Oryctolagus cuniculus: one gene and its partners. The protein of the gene in region 3 interacts with the protein of the main gene of each other region in a pairwise test. Links are inferred from orthologs where the notes say so. Each region holds a gene or a part of one and is shown on either strand. Other genes may lie near its edges.

Region 1 (4,844 bases), on a different chromosome or scaffold from region 3:
CGTCTGCCTGGCACAGGGAGCTCACCGAGATCAACCGGAGGCACATCACCGAGTCGGTCAACTCCATCCGGAGGGTGAGTGAGCCCCATCTCCCGGGGACCTGGCCTGGAGCCGTGCGGCCCTTGAGGGGCTTCTAGAACCTTCCGCCCTGGACCCGGCAGCCCCCTGGTGCCAGCGTCATGGCGGAAGCCACCTCCGCAGCAGCTCCCGCGTCCCCGGGGCCGTCATGTTGCAGTCCTTGCCCGCTGATCGCTTTTTAAGTTGTTTGTTTGAAAGGCAGAGGCAGATGAGAGAGAGAGAGAGAGAGAGAGAGAGAGAGAGGTCTTTCACCTGCTGGTTCACTCCCCAGATGCTGGGGCTCAAGTCTGGGTCCCACGCGGGGGCTAGGGGCAGCCACGCGGGGCTCCCAGGTGTGCAGGAGCCGGGGTCAGCGCCGGCCGGACCCGGGCCTGCCCCTGCGCGCTGACCCCCCCGCCCCCACAGCTGGAAGAGGCCCAGAAGCAGCGGCTCGAGCGCCTGGTGGCGGGGCAGCAGCAGGTCTTGAAGCAGCTGGCGGAGGAGGAGCCGGAGGTGAGGCCGGGGCGCGGGCACGGGCGCGGGCGCGGGCGGCGCGGCGGGCGCGGGCCCGGCCTCCTCCCACGGCCTCCTCTTCCCACAGCTGCTGGCCCAGTTGGCCCGGGAGTGCCAGGAGCGGCGGGCCCGGCTGCCCCAGGAGATCCGCTGCAGCCTGCTGGGCGGGACGCTGGAGGGGCTGGGGGACGGGCCCCTGGTGGCCTGCGCCAGCAACGGGCACGCGCCGGGCTCGGGCGGGCACGCGCCGGGCGCCGACCCCGAGAGCCAGGAGGAGAACACGCAGCTGTGAACTGGCCGAGCGAGGTGGCGCGGGGCCGGGGTGGGCGCCGGGCGCGGGCGGGAGGCCACCACACTAATGCGTCCTTTTTTTAAAAAACAAAAAAACACACAAAAACAAAAAACCTTTTTATCTTTAGAAATTTTATTTTTTTAAGCCCTGGGCAAGCATCCCACACTAACTCCCTTCCTTCCTGCTCAGGGGCTCCACTGGACTCCTCCCCCAGCCTCACCCTGGGAGGGGCCTGGTCCCGCAGGTGGGCGCTGGGGGGCTCCCGGGCTTTCTTTAGTCCCTGGGGACTCTTCGCGAATAAACGTGCATTTCAGGGACCCTTGTGCAGCGTGCTTGGGGCCCCAGCTCTGCCTCTGCGCTTTCTGGGGGCTGTGGGTGCTGGCGGGGTGCAGGTCAGCCCCGGGACGCTCCTCCTGGGCAGGGGCTCCTCCCGGGCAGGGGCTCGCTGGCCTCCCCCGTCCCCGCCTCCCTCCCCCAGGCCCTGGCCTCAGCTCAGGAAACCTTCCCCGCCCCCCCTTCCTGTGGCCTGGCGTGACCCAGGCACCCAGCTCCTTCCGCTGGGCAGCTCGGCCGCGCGGGGGCTGGCGGTGCGGGCCGGGCCGGGCCAGCTCAGAACCGGCCAAGGCAGGCGTGCGTACCCGGCAGGAGGGAGAGCTGTGCCTGTTTCACAGATGAGCGTACTGAGGCCCAGGGCGGAAGTCCGGCGTGCTGGCCAGCCCGGAGGCCGCCGGTGCGGGCAGGGCAGGCTGGCACCCGAGGCCGGCTCTCCGCTCCCGCTTCCTCCCGAGGAAGCCGCCTGCTAGCGGGCCTGCTCTCCGCCAATCGAGTGCTTGCTTTGCTGTTTTTAGTTTTGTTTTTTTTTTTTTTTTTTTTTTTGCAGCCTCGGGCAGATGGGGTGGGGAGGCCAGAGGAGCAGGGCCGAGGGGCCCAGGGTCACTCCCGGCCCTCCTCCTCCTGCGCGCCCGCCGCCGGCTCCGCGCCCCCACGGCCGACCCCGTCTCCCCGTCGGAGGCACCGCATGGGGGTCCACTCGCGGCCCGCGGGGCCGCGCCTCCTGCCGGGTCCCTGAGCGGCGCTGGCCCCCGGCCGGCCGCACAGTAGCCGCTCGCGGGGCCTGACCCAGCTAGGAACAGTGACCTCCCCGGGGAGCCCGCAGGGTTCCGGCCGCCGGCGGCCGCGGCGCCTGGTCGCCACCCTGGGGACGAGGCCCTGCGTCCGGCCGCGCGCCGCCTCGGCCCCTCGCCCAGCCTCCGTGACGGCGCGACCCTGGGCCTCGGGGCCCCAAACGACGGACAGAGGACACTCGGCGGCACAGAGGCTGGCTTTATTGGCGCCCTGGGGCGCGCGCGTCGGCCGCGCCGCCCCGCGGGGGAAGGTTCCGGCGGAGCAGCCGTTAGCCCCGGCTCGCCACCTGCGCCGGGCGGGGCCGCAGGGCCACTTCCGGAGGAACGCCGGGACTCCGACGGCTGCGGCACGCACCGGAAGGGGCTCGGGCGTCCAGACTGCGGGACTTCCGCCCACACCCGAGATGGCCGCCGCCGCCGACGGCAGCGGACTGGGTTTCGGGACTGTGGGGCCGAAGGTCACTGGGAAGGGGCGGAACCTCCTTTCCCCAAATTGCGATCCCACCAAGACTGGATGACGCGCGTCCAGCTGGAGCTTTCCCTCATCTGCATCGCTGTGCCCGCGCTCTTCGGGCGAGGCAGTCCCTTTGGGATGGGAAGAGGAAAGGGTTAAATGAGTCGCCTTTCCCCGGCGGTTCCGGTCAGGGTCCTCTCACTTCCGGAATCCCCGGGAGAACAATAAAGACCACAGTTCCCAGCATGCCCCGTACTGAGCGGTCCGGGAGGCACAGGATGCTGGGACCTTGGGAATGGGAACTGGCCGAACCGGCCGTATCGCACTGGAAGTGCCGCCTAGAATCCGTTAAGAGCCGGAGAACTAGCATCTATAAGACGAGACCGCAATTCAAAGTGAAAGTGGCGGCTCCGAAGCCGGAGCTAAAGAACCTAGGCACCCGGAAGGGGCTGGCCAGAAATACAGATACCAGCATGCCCCGCGCTCCAGAGAGCGTTGGTCCGGACTACAGGTCCCGGCATGCCCTGGGACTCCGGAAGGGGCCAGCTGCTGGGAGGCAGCCTGGAGCTGCCGCTTCTCTTAGGCTCGCGCTCACCTTGACGGAGCCCTCGAACTCGTCGCTCATCCTTCGGAGCTCGCGGCCGTAGCGCTGTGCAGCCCAGAGGTTGGGGGGCGCCGAGCGCGAGCGGCCCCGAAAGGGGCTGGGCTCCTCCTCGGCCCCTTCGCTGTCGTCCGCGTCCGCAGGGTACGAGCTGTGGCGGCTCCGGGTTTCCATAGCTCCGGCGCCTGCGGAGAGGGGTTTGGGGCGCGGCGGCGTGGGTCTCACCAACGCCGGCCGCACGCCCGGTCCCCTCCGCGGACGGGGACGGTTCAGTTCTCAGGAGTCCCCCCAGTCCTCACCGAGGCCCGATAGCGAGCGAGGCCTCGTGCACGAAATGAGCTTGCACCGTGCGCCGCATAGCGTCCGGCACAGCGGGAGTGGGTTCGGCGACGAGCGCGCCTTCGGCGGGGCCTCTGGTGCCCCGGAGCACCCCGTCCCGAGCCCTGCAGAGGGAGAGGCCGCGCCGAGCTGGGTGCGCGTGCGGGCGCCGGGGCACTTCGGGTTCTTCACCCGATCGCCCCAGGAGGTGGGCACCTTGGGGTGCCCTGGACGGGGCGCTAATCCTGGCCCTCAGCCGCTCGGTAGCGGGCGCAGCACGCACGGGCTCGGTGAGCGCCCGGGTCTGCCGCCGGCTCCGCCAGCCCTCCCCTCCCCCAGGCTTAGAAAGACCTAGAACCACTCCCGGAAGCAGAAGGCAGCGCTCCCAGCCAGGTGTGCCCCCGGGAAGGCCCGGGGCAGGGCTGGGGCGGAGCCTGGAGGTCAGCTTCCGGACCCTGCCCGACGGCGCCAGGCAGCCACCCAGAGGGTCTCCCCGCCGCTGGTCGGGGTCCCCTCACGGTTCCCGACGGCGTCTTCCGAGGGGTCGGGGGCGCCGAGTGAAGGGCCTGCTCTCCTCTGGGCAGTGGGGCAGCCCCGTCTCCCAGGACCACCGCGGGAACAGGGAGCCCGCGGCCGCCCTGCGCGGGAGTGAGCCAGTGCATCCAAGATTCCTTTGTCTTTCAAATAAAGTGAAAATCAAAACTAAACACTAGCGGGGATGTGGCCTGGGGCACAGAGGCGGTTTCCACCTGGGCTCCCCATCCTGGCCTGGGAGTCGGCAGAAGATGGTCCCAGCGCCCCGGGCCCCTGCCACGCACACACGGGAGGCCGGCGCCCGGGCCCCTGCCAGGCACACACTGGAGACCGGCGCCCGGGCCCCTGCCACGCACACACGGGAGGCCGGCGCCCCGGGCCCCTGCCACGCACACACGGGAGACCAGGCGCCCCGGGCCCCTGCCAGGCACACACGGGAGGCCGGCGCCCGGGCCCCTGCCACGCACACACTGGAGACCGGCGCCCGGGCCCCTGCCACGCACACACTGGAGACCCCGGGCCCCTGCCAGGCACACACGGGAGACCAGGCGCCCCGGGCCCCTGCCAGGCACACACGGGAGGCCGGCGCCCCGGGCCCCTGCCAGGCACATGAGAGACCCAAGTGGCGCTCCTGGCTCCTGGCTTCAGCCTGGCCCAGCCCTGGCTATTGAGGCCACCTTTCTAATGCTCCGCTTTTCAAATAAATAATACATTTAAAAAAGAAATACGGATGAGGCAGGAGAGGGCCTGAGTGCCCGGTGCAGGCCGTGCAGACAGCAGGGAGCGGGCTCAGGCTCAGCACTGCCCCGGCCCAGGAGTGACCACAGGCAGGTGCAAGGCTGTGTGTTAACTCCTTCGTCTCCATCACATTCAGGCAGAGAGGCTGAGTGACTCGCCAGGGTCACAAAGCTACTGGACCGCAGGGCCGGGCCCAAACCCCACCAGCTGGGC
Region 2 (6,040 bases), on a different chromosome or scaffold from region 3:
CGAAAGCCCGCTGTGAAGGGAACAGACCCAGCAACCCGGCCGGCGGCGCCCTCCCGCCAGTCTAACTTGAGACACTTTGGAATGAAATCAGTGGCTGCAAGTGCTGGGAAAGAAGTGACGGTCAGTTACCCGCTGTCCCCGTGGGCGCCAGAGCCCGGGCCCGGCCCCGCGCATCGCGCGCGTGCTCCAAAGGTCTTTCGAGACCTGGGGTTGGGCTTGCACGGGGGTTACAGGGGAGTTTCATTAATGCTGACCGCGCACAGGGCCCCGAGCTCACCGAAGGTCGGACACGGCCCGCGGCTCCCGCACAGCGCCGGGCCGGGCCGGGCGCCGCGCCTGTCGGGTCGTGCCTGCGCTCGCTGGTGCGGCCGCCTGCTGCCTCGGCGTCCACAGAAACACACGATAAATGACCTCGCAAAGGCGAGAAACAGAAAGTAGGCGTAGAAAACGGAAAGAAAAAGGTTCAGACGTTGCTGCCATTGGGAAACTGCTAATGGTGAGGAGAACGGAGAACCCACAAAGCAAGGCTTATTCAGGATCTTTGTTTCTGTGAAAAATTCATAGAAAAATCAACAGCAAATTTATATTCTTTGCTATAAAAACTCATTAAGTACATATGTGCACGGAGGCTGGGAGAGGGACAGGGTTTCCTTAGAAAATAATTAAAATCAAAGGACAAACTCGTGGGCTCGCCGTGTGGCGGCAGCTGTGCGGCGGCCCCGGGGGCCGGCCGGGAGCTGAGCCCGCTGCGAGAGCACCGTGACAGCCAACGCACGCGTCCTGCGCTCCCCGGGGCCTTCCACCTGCATTTAATTTTTTTATATATATATATACTTTTTCTATAAATGCATTATAAATATTTTATCAAGATTTCATAAGAATCAAGTTTCTTAGCTTGGAATACATTGGAATATATATTATACATATATATATTTATTTATACCTAAAATGTAAGCAATACTTCATGCTACTTGCTTTTCATAAAAAGCATTCCGGCCGCAACACTGCGAGTGTGCCTAGGACATGCTCAGGTCGGGGCGCGCCCGCGCCGGGGCGCACGAGGCAAGAACACTTTGGATTCCTGTCGACTCGCTGGACTGCAGCCCCCAGCGGCGCTGCCGCGTTCTGGAACGACCTCCGTTCCTCTCAAACAGCAATAAAGGCGAGCCGGGGCCGCCAGGGCTGCCGGGGCCGCCGGGGGAGGCGGCTGGCGCCTGCTCTCCACGTGTCCGGCCACACCGCCGGGCTGCACCGGCCACAGGAAAGTGTCCCACCGATTCCTGCTGCTCAGTTTATCTTAAGGCATTGTTCCTCAGACTTCAGAAAACCCAGCCCCAAAAATCCATCCGGGCAATAAAAAAAAGGCACAAACTCGCATCTCCGACGGCTTCGAGAAACCGAAGCCGACGCCCCGGGCTCGCACTGTGGTTCTGTCAGGTTTTGTCTTCAAAGGTTCGTCTGCTCTGCCCCCGCCGCAGACCGCCGAGGGCCACGGGGGTGGGCCAGAGCCGTAGAAAACTTCCTCTTAAAAAAAAGAAAATGAGCTACAAGATGAGTTGAGTGGTTTACACGGAGACTGTGGAATTGTGGGTCCTAACCGAACTTGAAGCACCAGTTTTGATCAAGTCTGTTTTGCATTATTAGATCTTTGATTTCATTTTCTGTTCCTTGCATCGACTGAATCCGGCAACCCTGCCACGAGTCGCCGCAGGCCTCTGGCGGCTTCCCTCCTGGGAGCCGGCGGTGTGCCTGGCCTCCGCGTGTCCGTGTGTCTGCTCGCTGCCGTGTCTGTCCCGTGCTCCGCGGGACGCTGCCAGGCCCGCGTGTGGGCGGCAGAAGGGCTCCCGCTGCGGCCACGCGCCTGCGCCCCAGCACTCGAGGGGGCACCGCGGCAGACGCGGGTGAGCGGGAAAGTTTCTTGGCTGAGCTTCAAGACAGAGACAAACAAACAAGGGAACAGCGCCTTCCAGAGCGCTACAGGGGCGGCTCCTCCTCCATGGGCTCCTCCTCGGGTCTGCGTGGAGGGGGCAGAGGGGAGAGAACCACAGGGCCGTCACCGCAGGGCCCGGCCCGGCCCCGCCCCGGCCCCGCCCCGGCCCCCTGCTCAGGGCGGAACCTCTCCCAGGCTCTGCCAGGGCCCGCGAGCTCACCTCTTCTCGGCCGGCTTCACGCCCACGGACAGCGAGGCCATGGCCGTGACCGTCTCCGCCTCCTCGTTCTCGCACTTCTGCGCCTCCATCAGGGAGTGCCCGGCCGTGGAGGACAGGCGCTGCAGGCAGCGCCAGTACTTGCCTGCGGGCGGGGAAGGCGCACTCAGGACCAGGCAGGAGCTGTCGCAGGGCCCGGGGTCTCGCGAGTCAAAAGCACCTCTCTGAAGCGGCAGGCCAGCCCACTCGTCTGGGCAACATTTCCGGGTAGCCAGGGGCATCGAGCCTGCCTGGGATCACCTGGCGCTCCCTCCGCACCTACAGGTCCCCGCAAGTGCAGTGACTGACAGACCTGGGGGTGTGCCCGGGGCTGGGAGCGGCTCTGGGCCAGGAACCCGGGAGCCGATGTCTGGGACCTCGTGGGACTGGGGGTGGGGGCTCCCGTGGGGCCCCTGCCTTGGGACTGACAGACGCTGGGGGTGTGCCCGGGGCTGGAAGCGGCTCTAGGCCAGGAACCCAGCCCCCGCACAGGCACACCGGGAGCCGATGTCTGGCTTTACCCACCTCTCGGAGGGCCTTGCCCACTCGGGTCTCCGAGACCCAGAGATAAACAGGGATCTGCGGCGCGGACACGTGTGAGACAGGCGAGCCGGCAGGGGTCCCCCAGGGCCTGTGCTCACAGGGCAGTGGTAGGAGGTTGCCCTGCAGCCCCCCACTCGGGCCCCCAGCCCTGGGCTGCCCGGCGCTGCTGGGGCCCCCGCTCTCTGGCCTGTGCAGTGGGGTAATGTGTCGTCACGGGAGGCTGTGGCTGCTTCTACCCGCTCAGCAAAGGCCAGCTGACAGCGGCTGGGCCCGACCACTCACTGTGGATGTCCATGACCTTCTCCATGGAGCGGACGGCGTTCGCGTTGGGTCTCTGCTGGACCACCTGCTCGGGCAGAGGGTCGAGCTGGAAGAGAGAGGGACACACAGTGGCTACCCAGCCAACGTGGCTGTCGCAGCACGGGGCCAACCCTGCCCCTGCCCGCTGCCGGGCCGTTCGTGGAGTGCGTCTGCCCGCAGGGAAGAGGACACTCAGAAAGGCTCACGTGGCCGCGGGAATCTATTAGCTCACTTCCTCCCGGCCTTGGCCGCGGGCTCCCGGCGCTCCTGCCGGCAGGTGGAGGGAGGACAGGGCCCGGGCGCGAGCTGCTGCCTGCTCTCCGCCCCCGGGCCACGCCAGGGGAAGCGGTTAGTGTGCTTTAGGAGCATCGTGTTCCTCTCCACCCGCTCTGCTCCCGCATCTCCTGCAGGCCGCTGGTGGCCATCCCCCCACCTGCCCTCCTGGGCCCATCCCCTGTTGGCACAGAATGACAGGCAGAGGCGAGTCCACAGGGACACCTGTGAATGACCCAGGGGCCAACCGGGGAGGTAAGACTCCTCCACGGAGAATCCTGATCACTTGTACACCACCCCTGCCCCTGCCCCGTCCCTGGTGTGGCTCGGCTTGGAGCTGGTCTCTGAGCTGTGCACGGTGACTGGGGCTCAAGGAGGAGGCCAGCACAGAGGAAGCCGCCCAGGAGGGCACTGGCGCGAGGGCTCCGTACACCTTAAAACCTCCCAGAGATCAAAAGTTAAACGAGCTGGTTTAGACCCCCCAAGACTGCAGTCACTGAAACCGTCAGTTACAACTTAAAACACGCTTACTGCACTTCAAACACACAGGAAAACACTCATGTGTGAGGAAAAGCCAGAGAGTGCGGTACCTGACCTGGAAGACTTGGGGGAGGGGGAAGGGGAGGGGGAGAGGGGGAGAGGGGGAGAGGGAGAGAGGGAGAGAGAGAATGAATTAGCAATCCAAGCGTGGCAGCAGAAAGCTGGGCACGCGATGAGACCAGACAGGAGAACACCGTGTGGAGGGGCACCCGAGGCAGTGGCCCAGAGCAAGCCCAGAGGGTGGGCTGTGGGGGTCTGTGCGGCTGCCCGCAGGTCCTCAGGGAACAGGGAGAAGGGACGAGGGGCAGCCAGACACGGGGCTCCGGCCCTGGGGCCTGCAGCCTGGGAGAGGGGCAAGACCCGGCAGGCAGAACAGGAAGGGAAATCCATGCCTAGGCAGGATGGCGACACCAGGCGGACAACCTCAGGGGCCGAGGGAGCCGATAGGCACGCGGGCATGCCGCAGGAAGCGTGGCCTGGTGCTGTCGGTGCAGCCAGAGAAGCGTCTGCGCTGTCTGGAGCTGGCATTGCAACCAGCATCCTGGCTGCTCGGCCTCCAGTCCCAGCTCCCAGCTCCCGCGCCTGGCAAGCCGAGGAAATGGCACAAGTCCTTGGGCCCCTGCACCACATGCAATGCGCTGGATGGAATCTGGGCACCGGCTTAGGCCTGAACCAGTCCTGGCCACTGTGGCCACCTGGGGAGTGATCCATCAGATGGAAGACTGATCTCTCACAGTCTCTCTCTTTCTGCATTTCAAAAAAATAAACAGGGGCCAGCGCTGTGGCACAGCAGGTGGAGCTGCCGCCCGCAACACCAGCATCCCATAAGGGTGCCAACTCGAGTCCCGGCCACTCCACTTCCGATCCAGCTCCCTGCTGATGGCCTGGGAAAGCAGCGGAGGATGCCCCAAGTGCTTGGGCCCCGGCACCCACGTGGGAGACCTAGAGGAAGCTCCTGGCTTCAGCCAGGCCCAGTCCTGACTGCCGTGGCCATCTGGGGAATCAACCAGAGAATGGGACATCTCATTTTCTCTCTGTAACTCTGATTTTCAAATAAATGACCACAAAGGAAATGGGCTGAGTAATGGTCAAGTGGAACTAGGGACGTGTGGCTTGCAGGGAGCGAGTCACAGCCAGCCTCATGCCCTTTGCAGAAGCAGCGTCTGCGGCCCGAAGGGGCTGATGGTCAAGGACAAGACCCCTGGGTCGCAGTGCTGGAAGACGTGGCACACGGGGTGCAAGGCAAGCACCACGTGCACGCGGGCAGGGCCCCTCTGCCACGACGAGATGCACGCAGGCAGACGGGGGTAAATCTGCCTCCACGGGGGAGCGTCCCACTCGTCTTAGACCCAGCAGCCAAGCGGACAAAAACCGGTGAAGAAACAAAAATGTGCAACTAGGCAGCATGGGTAAGGGACACAAACCAAGTCCTGCAGAGCTGGAGACACATGTGATGCCAAACACGTGTGCAGTGCCATGTGGACTGACCACAGCAGCCACCACACACGTTCCACGGAACACAAGCGCCAGCCAGGCCTCTTCTGACCACGGTGCATTTGGTTAGAGACTGGCAACAGAGAGAGCCCCTACGTCTGGAAATTTAAAAGCACGGTGATTCCCGAGGCAAGGAGGAAGTCACGGTGGACACGAGGCCGTGCTCAGACCACAAACACGGCACGCATGTGAGGAGCTGTGTGGGGCCTCCCACACACACTCAGAAAACAGTACTGGGGTGGGGGGTGAAGAAGTTAGCAAGGGGGCGGAGGATGGAGACACAGAGAAGGAGCAGACGCAGACATGTTCTGAGAGGGCGAGGGCTGAACGCGGTCTGTCCCGGCGTGCTGGCCAAGGACGAGTGCGCGGGCGGCCGTGGGGGCTACAGCAGGAAAGGATGAACTTCCCATAAAATGTAAACCCAAAATTAACTCAAGGAGGCCACTGAGTGGGCCTACAGCCATCAACGACACGGTCGAAGTCCCGCCCAACGGCCACGGGGCACAGACGGCTGGGAGTGGACACTGCACGCAGGACAGCTGTGGCGGGCTGAATTGACAGCCCCCAGCAAACCACGTGGACGCTGTGCCACAGAGGTGAGCAGCTGTGTCCCTGGGCCCCACGTCCTCTCCACAGCTGCCTCTGAGCCGTCCAGGGACCACAGGAGTCCCAGTGGACCAGACTCCGTGTCATCAGGTCTCATT
Region 3 (5,237 bases):
CTCCCCTGTGGGCAGGGCCCGGTCTGGGGCCCTTCCTCACTGCCAGCACCCAGCTCTGTGTGTATATGTCTACAGAGTTGGCTGGATTTCTTCACGTAGCAGTAGTCACCATCCACTCTAGCAAGAGATTCCCACGAACTCATTTAATGCTCACAAAAGCCTCACCTTACACCGCCAGGAGCTGAGGCTCAGAGGGTCAGCCACCGGCTGACAGCACCACAGACTCACACAGTCTGATCCCAAAGATGCAAGGCCGCTCTGTCTTTCAGAGCAAAATAATACACATGCAGCAAGAATAACAGAGAATAAAGGTGAAGAGGAAAAAAACCACGAAGTTTCACTAGCAGATACTCTGGCTAAACTGGTACTCGAGCCTAGTTCCTTTCCTTCGTCTTCTGCGTCAGCGCTCCGATTTGAGCAGAGCTGTCAGGATGTCAGGGCCAACAGCCTGTCTGCTGCCTTGGGAGGCCTGGCCCAAACTTGTCCCTTGTGGCAGAGAGCCAGATGTCGTCCTGGATCCTCAGGGTTCTGGCCCAGGCCACTCTCCAGGAGGCAGGTGAATGTTCAGACACTGAGAACCGGCCCAGACACAGGCCTGTGAAACGGTCCCAGCTGAATCCCAGACGGGAGCCGCACCCCTGAGTCCCAGCTAAGCTTTGGCTAGGGGCAGGGCAGCTAAACAGGAACCCACCCTCCTTGGCTCAGTGCCAACGTGAAACTCGAGGACTGGGTCCCCACACGCAGGGACAGAGGTTGGCGACGGAGGTCTCCAGCTCCGACACCTCTGCTGTGGTCAGAGCTGGGGCCGTGGTCAAGTGCAAGGGACATGGAAACTTCTGGGAGACAGGCTGGGGGGAGGCGTCACTCAGCTTCCACGGCTGCCCCATAAAACAGTGTGTGTCAGCGCCACCTCCTTCTCCTCGGCCCCGTCTCTCCCCGGGGTTGCCTGCGTCCCCCCTGGGGGACCAAACTGGACTGAGCACCCAGGTGGCCTGCTTCCCAGCCTCTGACAGAGGACAAGCTGAGTCAGGAAGGAGAGTGGGACCCTTCGTGAGCCCTGCTGCTCTGTGATGGCAGGCGGCGTGGAGGGGGCAGCTGACCCGGCCTGGAGAGCCTCATGGGAAGTCCTCCAACAAGTGGCAACAGGCCACCGACTTGAAAGGGAAAATTGTGCTGTGAAGGGGAAGGTGTCCGACGAACCTACTGGGTGACTAATTACGCAGGCCCGGCTGGAGCCTCGGAGGCCGCTCGTTAAACACTTCGTTAAGTAGCACCCTGATAGCTGCCACCCTTCTGGGAGCATTTGGGAGCTCGGAGGGGACCCTGCATGGCTGAGGCCCTGGGGCTGGAATTGTCTCCCAGTAGACTCAGGAAGAAGCCTGGCCTCACTTCTAAAAGTCTGGAGCTCCCCGGTCAGAGGGGGCAGGTGACCTGGCATGCAGAGCCCATAGGAGAAAAGCCCAAGGAAGCTGGGTGCAGGAGAGAGCTGCAGGGACTTGGCAGCTGTGTGGCCCTGAGCAAGTCTCACAGCCTGAGAGTGAAGAGGCTCCCACACCACGTCAGGGCTGCACACCTCACAGTCACGGTGGGGACTGCACCCAGTGAGGACTAGGGAAGCGCTTGGGTTACCTCGCCTGAAGGGGGGGGGCAGTGCACCTGGCCGGATTAGCAGCCCCATCTTCCTGCACCCACCTGAGCCCACAGGCTATGCCAAAGCCGAAGCTGCCAGGTGGCTGAAGCCGTCCTTACCTCCTGGCAGCTTCCTAACGCGGGTGCTGGACAGGAGGGGGCAGCCTGGAGCCCAGCAAGGTGCCCGCACAGGTGGGGCCCACGCCCAGATTTCTCCTGCTGACTGTTCCAATGACTCACCCCCACATCCCGGCCCTTTTACCTTTAAGGAAGAGCCGGAAAGGGTGTGGGGAGAAGACAGGGAGGCAGGTCCTGGGCCCCAGTCCCGCCCCCCCGCCCCTCCCCACCCTTGCCTAGGCCAAGCCACCCAGCCAAAAGGCAGGTTGAGAGCAGCAGAGGCACAGAGTCCAGCCTTGGTCCCCAGGCAGCCAGCTCGCCCGCCGCCCGTCTCTCTGTCCCCAGAGCCATGGAGAGAGCCAGTCTGATCCAGAAGGCCAAGCTGGCCGAGCAGGCTGAGCGCTACGAGGACATGGCGGCCTTCATGAAGGGCGCGGTGGAGAAGGGCGAGGAGCTCTCCTGTGAAGAGCGAAACCTGCTCTCGGTGGCCTACAAGAACGTGGTGGGCGGCCAGAGGGCGGCCTGGAGGGTCCTGTCCAGCATCGAGCAGAAGAGCACGGAGGAGGGCTCGGAGGAGAAGGGCCCGGAGGTGCGCGAGTACCGGGAGAGGGTGGAGAAGGAGCTCCGCGGCGTGTGCGACGCCGTGCTGGGGCTGCTGGACTCCCACCTCATCAAGGAGGCAGGCGAGGCCGAGAGCCGCGTCTTCTACCTCAAGATGAAGGGCGACTACTACCGCTACCTGGCCGAGGTGGCCACCGGCGACGACAAGAAGCGCATCATCGACTCGGCCCGCTCCGCCTACCAGGAGGCCATGGACATCAGCAAGAAGGAGATGCCGCCCACCAACCCCATCCGCCTGGGCCTGGCCCTGAACTTTTCTGTCTTCCACTACGAGATCGCCAACAGCCCCGAGGAGGCCATCACGCTGGCCAAGACCACTTTCGACGAGGCCATGGCCGACCTGCACACCCTCAGCGAGGACTCCTACAAGGACAGCACCCTCATCATGCAGCTGCTGCGAGACAACCTGACGCTCTGGACAGCCGACAACGCCGGCGAAGAGGGCGGGGAGGCTCCCGAGGAGCCGCAGAGCTGAGCCGCCCGCCGCCGCCCTGCCCCCTCCGGTCCCCGACGCCCCGCGGAGAGGACTACTACGGGGTGGGAGGCGCCCCCCTTCTCCCCCTCGCTGCGCCGCCCCGGCTCCCAAAGGCTCCCTGGAGAAGGGAGCCGCTGAGCCGAGGCCGCCCGGGGGTCTCGCTCTCCCTGCAAGCCGCGGGGCGCTCCCAGCCCCTGGCCGCCCCCCCACCCTGCTCTCCGCACCCCTTCCCCTCCCGCCTCGCCTCCCTCCTGCCCCTGCGGCTGAGCGCGGCGCCGGGCGGCAGAGGCGGGAGCTGGGGTGCGCGTGTGACTGTGAGTGAGCGAGAGGGAAAGCGTCTGTCTGCCGGCGGTGACCGGCTCGGCTCAATAAACTCCCCGTGACACTCAGTCCTCCGGTCTTCTGCAGTTATTGGCGCTGGGCTGGGAGATGGGTGGGAGTGGGCTTTGCACAGGCCCCGATTTCCCCCGCGGCTGGCCCAGCGGCCCGCGGGCGAGACCTTGCGGGGGCGCAGCCAGGTTCGAGGCGGGGGCCTCTCCCCGCTCCGGGTGGCCCCACACTGGTCTGGTCCCGGGAGGGGCGGAGAGCAGAGGCAGCACTGAGGCGCCTCCCTCGGGCTAGGGGAGCGGGTGCCTCAGGTGTGAGGTGAGGCCGCGGGGTGCTGCGCGGAGCGAGCGGCACGGAGCACCCCACCCTCGAGAGCGAGTGAAGGGTGCACGACCTGGGGCAGAGGCACGGCGCCGCCATTAGATGCCCAGACCTGAGGAAAAGAGAACGGCCCCCCGCCCCCAGCAGCGCTCGGGGATGCGGAGGAGGCACCCGCTGGGTGGGAACGGCCTCGGGGTGCCTGGCTCGCTGGACCCACAGCCTCCACTCCCGGCAGGAAGCAACACGCCGGGACCGGAGGCTGGCGCGCTCCGCCAGCCGGCACCCCTGGAGGCGGGGCCGGAGGCCGACACAGCCCAATCACAGGAGAGAGTTTCACGGGGTACCGCCCTCGGGGCGCAATGGCCCAATGAGGGAGTGAGCAGTGGAGCCAGCGCCCCGCCCCCCGGCGCGGCTGCTCGCAGACTGACCGAGCGGCGTCCCCACCACCCGCCGGGCGCCGAGGGGGCGGTGCTTTCCAGGTTTCGCTCAGACAAGTTGCCACCCGCCCGACCCGGGAGGCGGCTTCCTCAGGGCGGCGGGACGGGGCGGAGCCGTGCGCAAAATGCAGCCCCCGCCCTTTGAGTCATGCGTTCACCAGGCGGTGCCTGGGCTGGGCCGGGCTGGGCTGGGCTGGGCCGGGCCGGGCCGGGCCGGGCTGGGTCGGACGGGGCGGGCCGGCAGGCGCGGCTGGGAGAAAGCCCGCAAGATGCCCCACCGCACTTCAGAGTGGAGGCAGCCTGGCCTGAAGGGGGCTTGGAGTGTCAAGGACTGCCACCTTGGAAAAGCCCTGGGCCTCAGTTTCCCTTTTGTGTCATAAGGGGCCTGACCAAAAGGCGCTCTGACGACTGGGATCGACTCCCAGCCGGCCTTGCTTGCCTTTTCAAGGGAACACTAAAAAAGCAGTACCTTCCGGCCAGGCACTGACAGCAGGTTAGGCCTCCGCCCGCAGTGCCGGCATCCACGTGGACTCGGGTTCGAGTCCTGCCTGCTCCACTTCCAGTTCGGCTCTCTGCTGTGGCCTGGGAAAACAGCAGAAGATAGCCCAAGTTCTTGGTTCCCTGCACCCATGTGGGAGATCAGGACGAAGCTCCTGGCTTAGGCCTGGCCCAGCTCCAGCCATTGATTGTGGCCATTGGAGTGAACCAGCGAATGGAAGCTCGCTCACTCCCCCCCACCCCCCCGCCGTGTGTGTGTGTGTGTGTGTGTGTGTGTGTGTGTGTCTCCCTCTCTCTGTAACTCTTTCAAATAAATTAATCTTAAAAAAAAAGTACCATCTTAGAGTTGCCATGAAGCTTGAGAAAAGAAGTGCACCTGAAGTAGTTCCTGTTCAACACATTTCAGCTATTTATTAATCCTGGCATCGACAAGTCTAGGACTCAACCAGCATTGCTGCACACTAAGCAGAACAAGCCAGGCTCCGTTGCAGGCTGGGCCACCTGACAGCAGGGGCCGCTCCGCCTCCTGGTGACATTAAGGGACCGCGGGCCAGACTCCGCAGGTTCCCCAGTCTTAAGTCTGGCTGCACCCGTGGGACTCCATCCGAAAGGCTCTTGTCACAGCTACTTCTGCAGGGGAAGCTTGCGGAGACGCCCTGATGCCTCTGGGTGCCTGCTCCTCTCCCTTCCTTTCCTGGAGGTGTGTCTGGCTTCAAGGTTCCAACCCAGGCAGAAACTCCGGGCCGGGGCAAGTGACTCCCTCCGCTCTGGAGGTGACCTGGTTTCTTTCACTAGACAGGTCTGGTGACTTT

Evidence for each region. The genes of interacting proteins can lie anywhere in the genome.
Region 1: the proteins of SFN (region 3) and BAD interact in binary tests that used the Homo sapiens proteins (3 or more experiments, as listed by UniProt). The link is inferred for Oryctolagus cuniculus from reciprocal best matches to the Homo sapiens genes SFN and BAD.
Region 2: the proteins of SFN (region 3) and HDAC4 interact in binary tests that used the Homo sapiens proteins (3 or more experiments, as listed by UniProt). The link is inferred for Oryctolagus cuniculus from reciprocal best matches to the Homo sapiens genes SFN and HDAC4.

What each region holds. Positions count from the first base shown.
Region 1 is NC_091432.1:7,042,678-7,047,521, reverse strand, and holds the end of BAD (bcl2-associated agonist of cell death), read right to left. Parts: intron 3,227-4,844; coding exon 3,036-3,226; intron 2,572-3,035; coding exon 2,446-2,571; 3' UTR 2,171-2,445; downstream 1-2,170. Other genes in the region: PLCB3 (1-phosphatidylinositol 4,5-bisphosphate phosphodiesterase beta-3), read left to right, coding at 17-74, 484-570, 659-862. UniProt on the Homo sapiens protein: Promotes cell death. Successfully competes for the binding to Bcl-X(L), Bcl-2 and Bcl-W, thereby affecting the level of heterodimerization of these proteins with BAX. Can reverse the death repressor activity of Bcl-X(L), but not that of Bcl-2.
Region 2 is NC_091434.1:1,666,621-1,672,660, reverse strand, and holds part of HDAC4 (histone deacetylase 4), read right to left. Parts: intron 3,097-6,040; coding exon 3,012-3,096; intron 2,293-3,011; coding exon 2,151-2,292; intron 2,015-2,150; coding exon 1,975-2,014; 3' UTR 1-1,974. UniProt on the Homo sapiens protein: Responsible for the deacetylation of lysine residues on the N-terminal part of the core histones (H2A, H2B, H3 and H4).
Region 3 is NC_091438.1:144,639,183-144,644,419, reverse strand, and holds SFN (14-3-3 protein sigma), read left to right. Parts: upstream 1-1,992; 5' UTR 1,993-2,095; coding exon 2,096-2,842; 3' UTR 2,843-2,977; downstream 2,978-5,237. UniProt on the Homo sapiens protein: Adapter protein implicated in the regulation of a large spectrum of both general and specialized signaling pathways. Binds to a large number of partners, usually by recognition of a phosphoserine or phosphothreonine motif.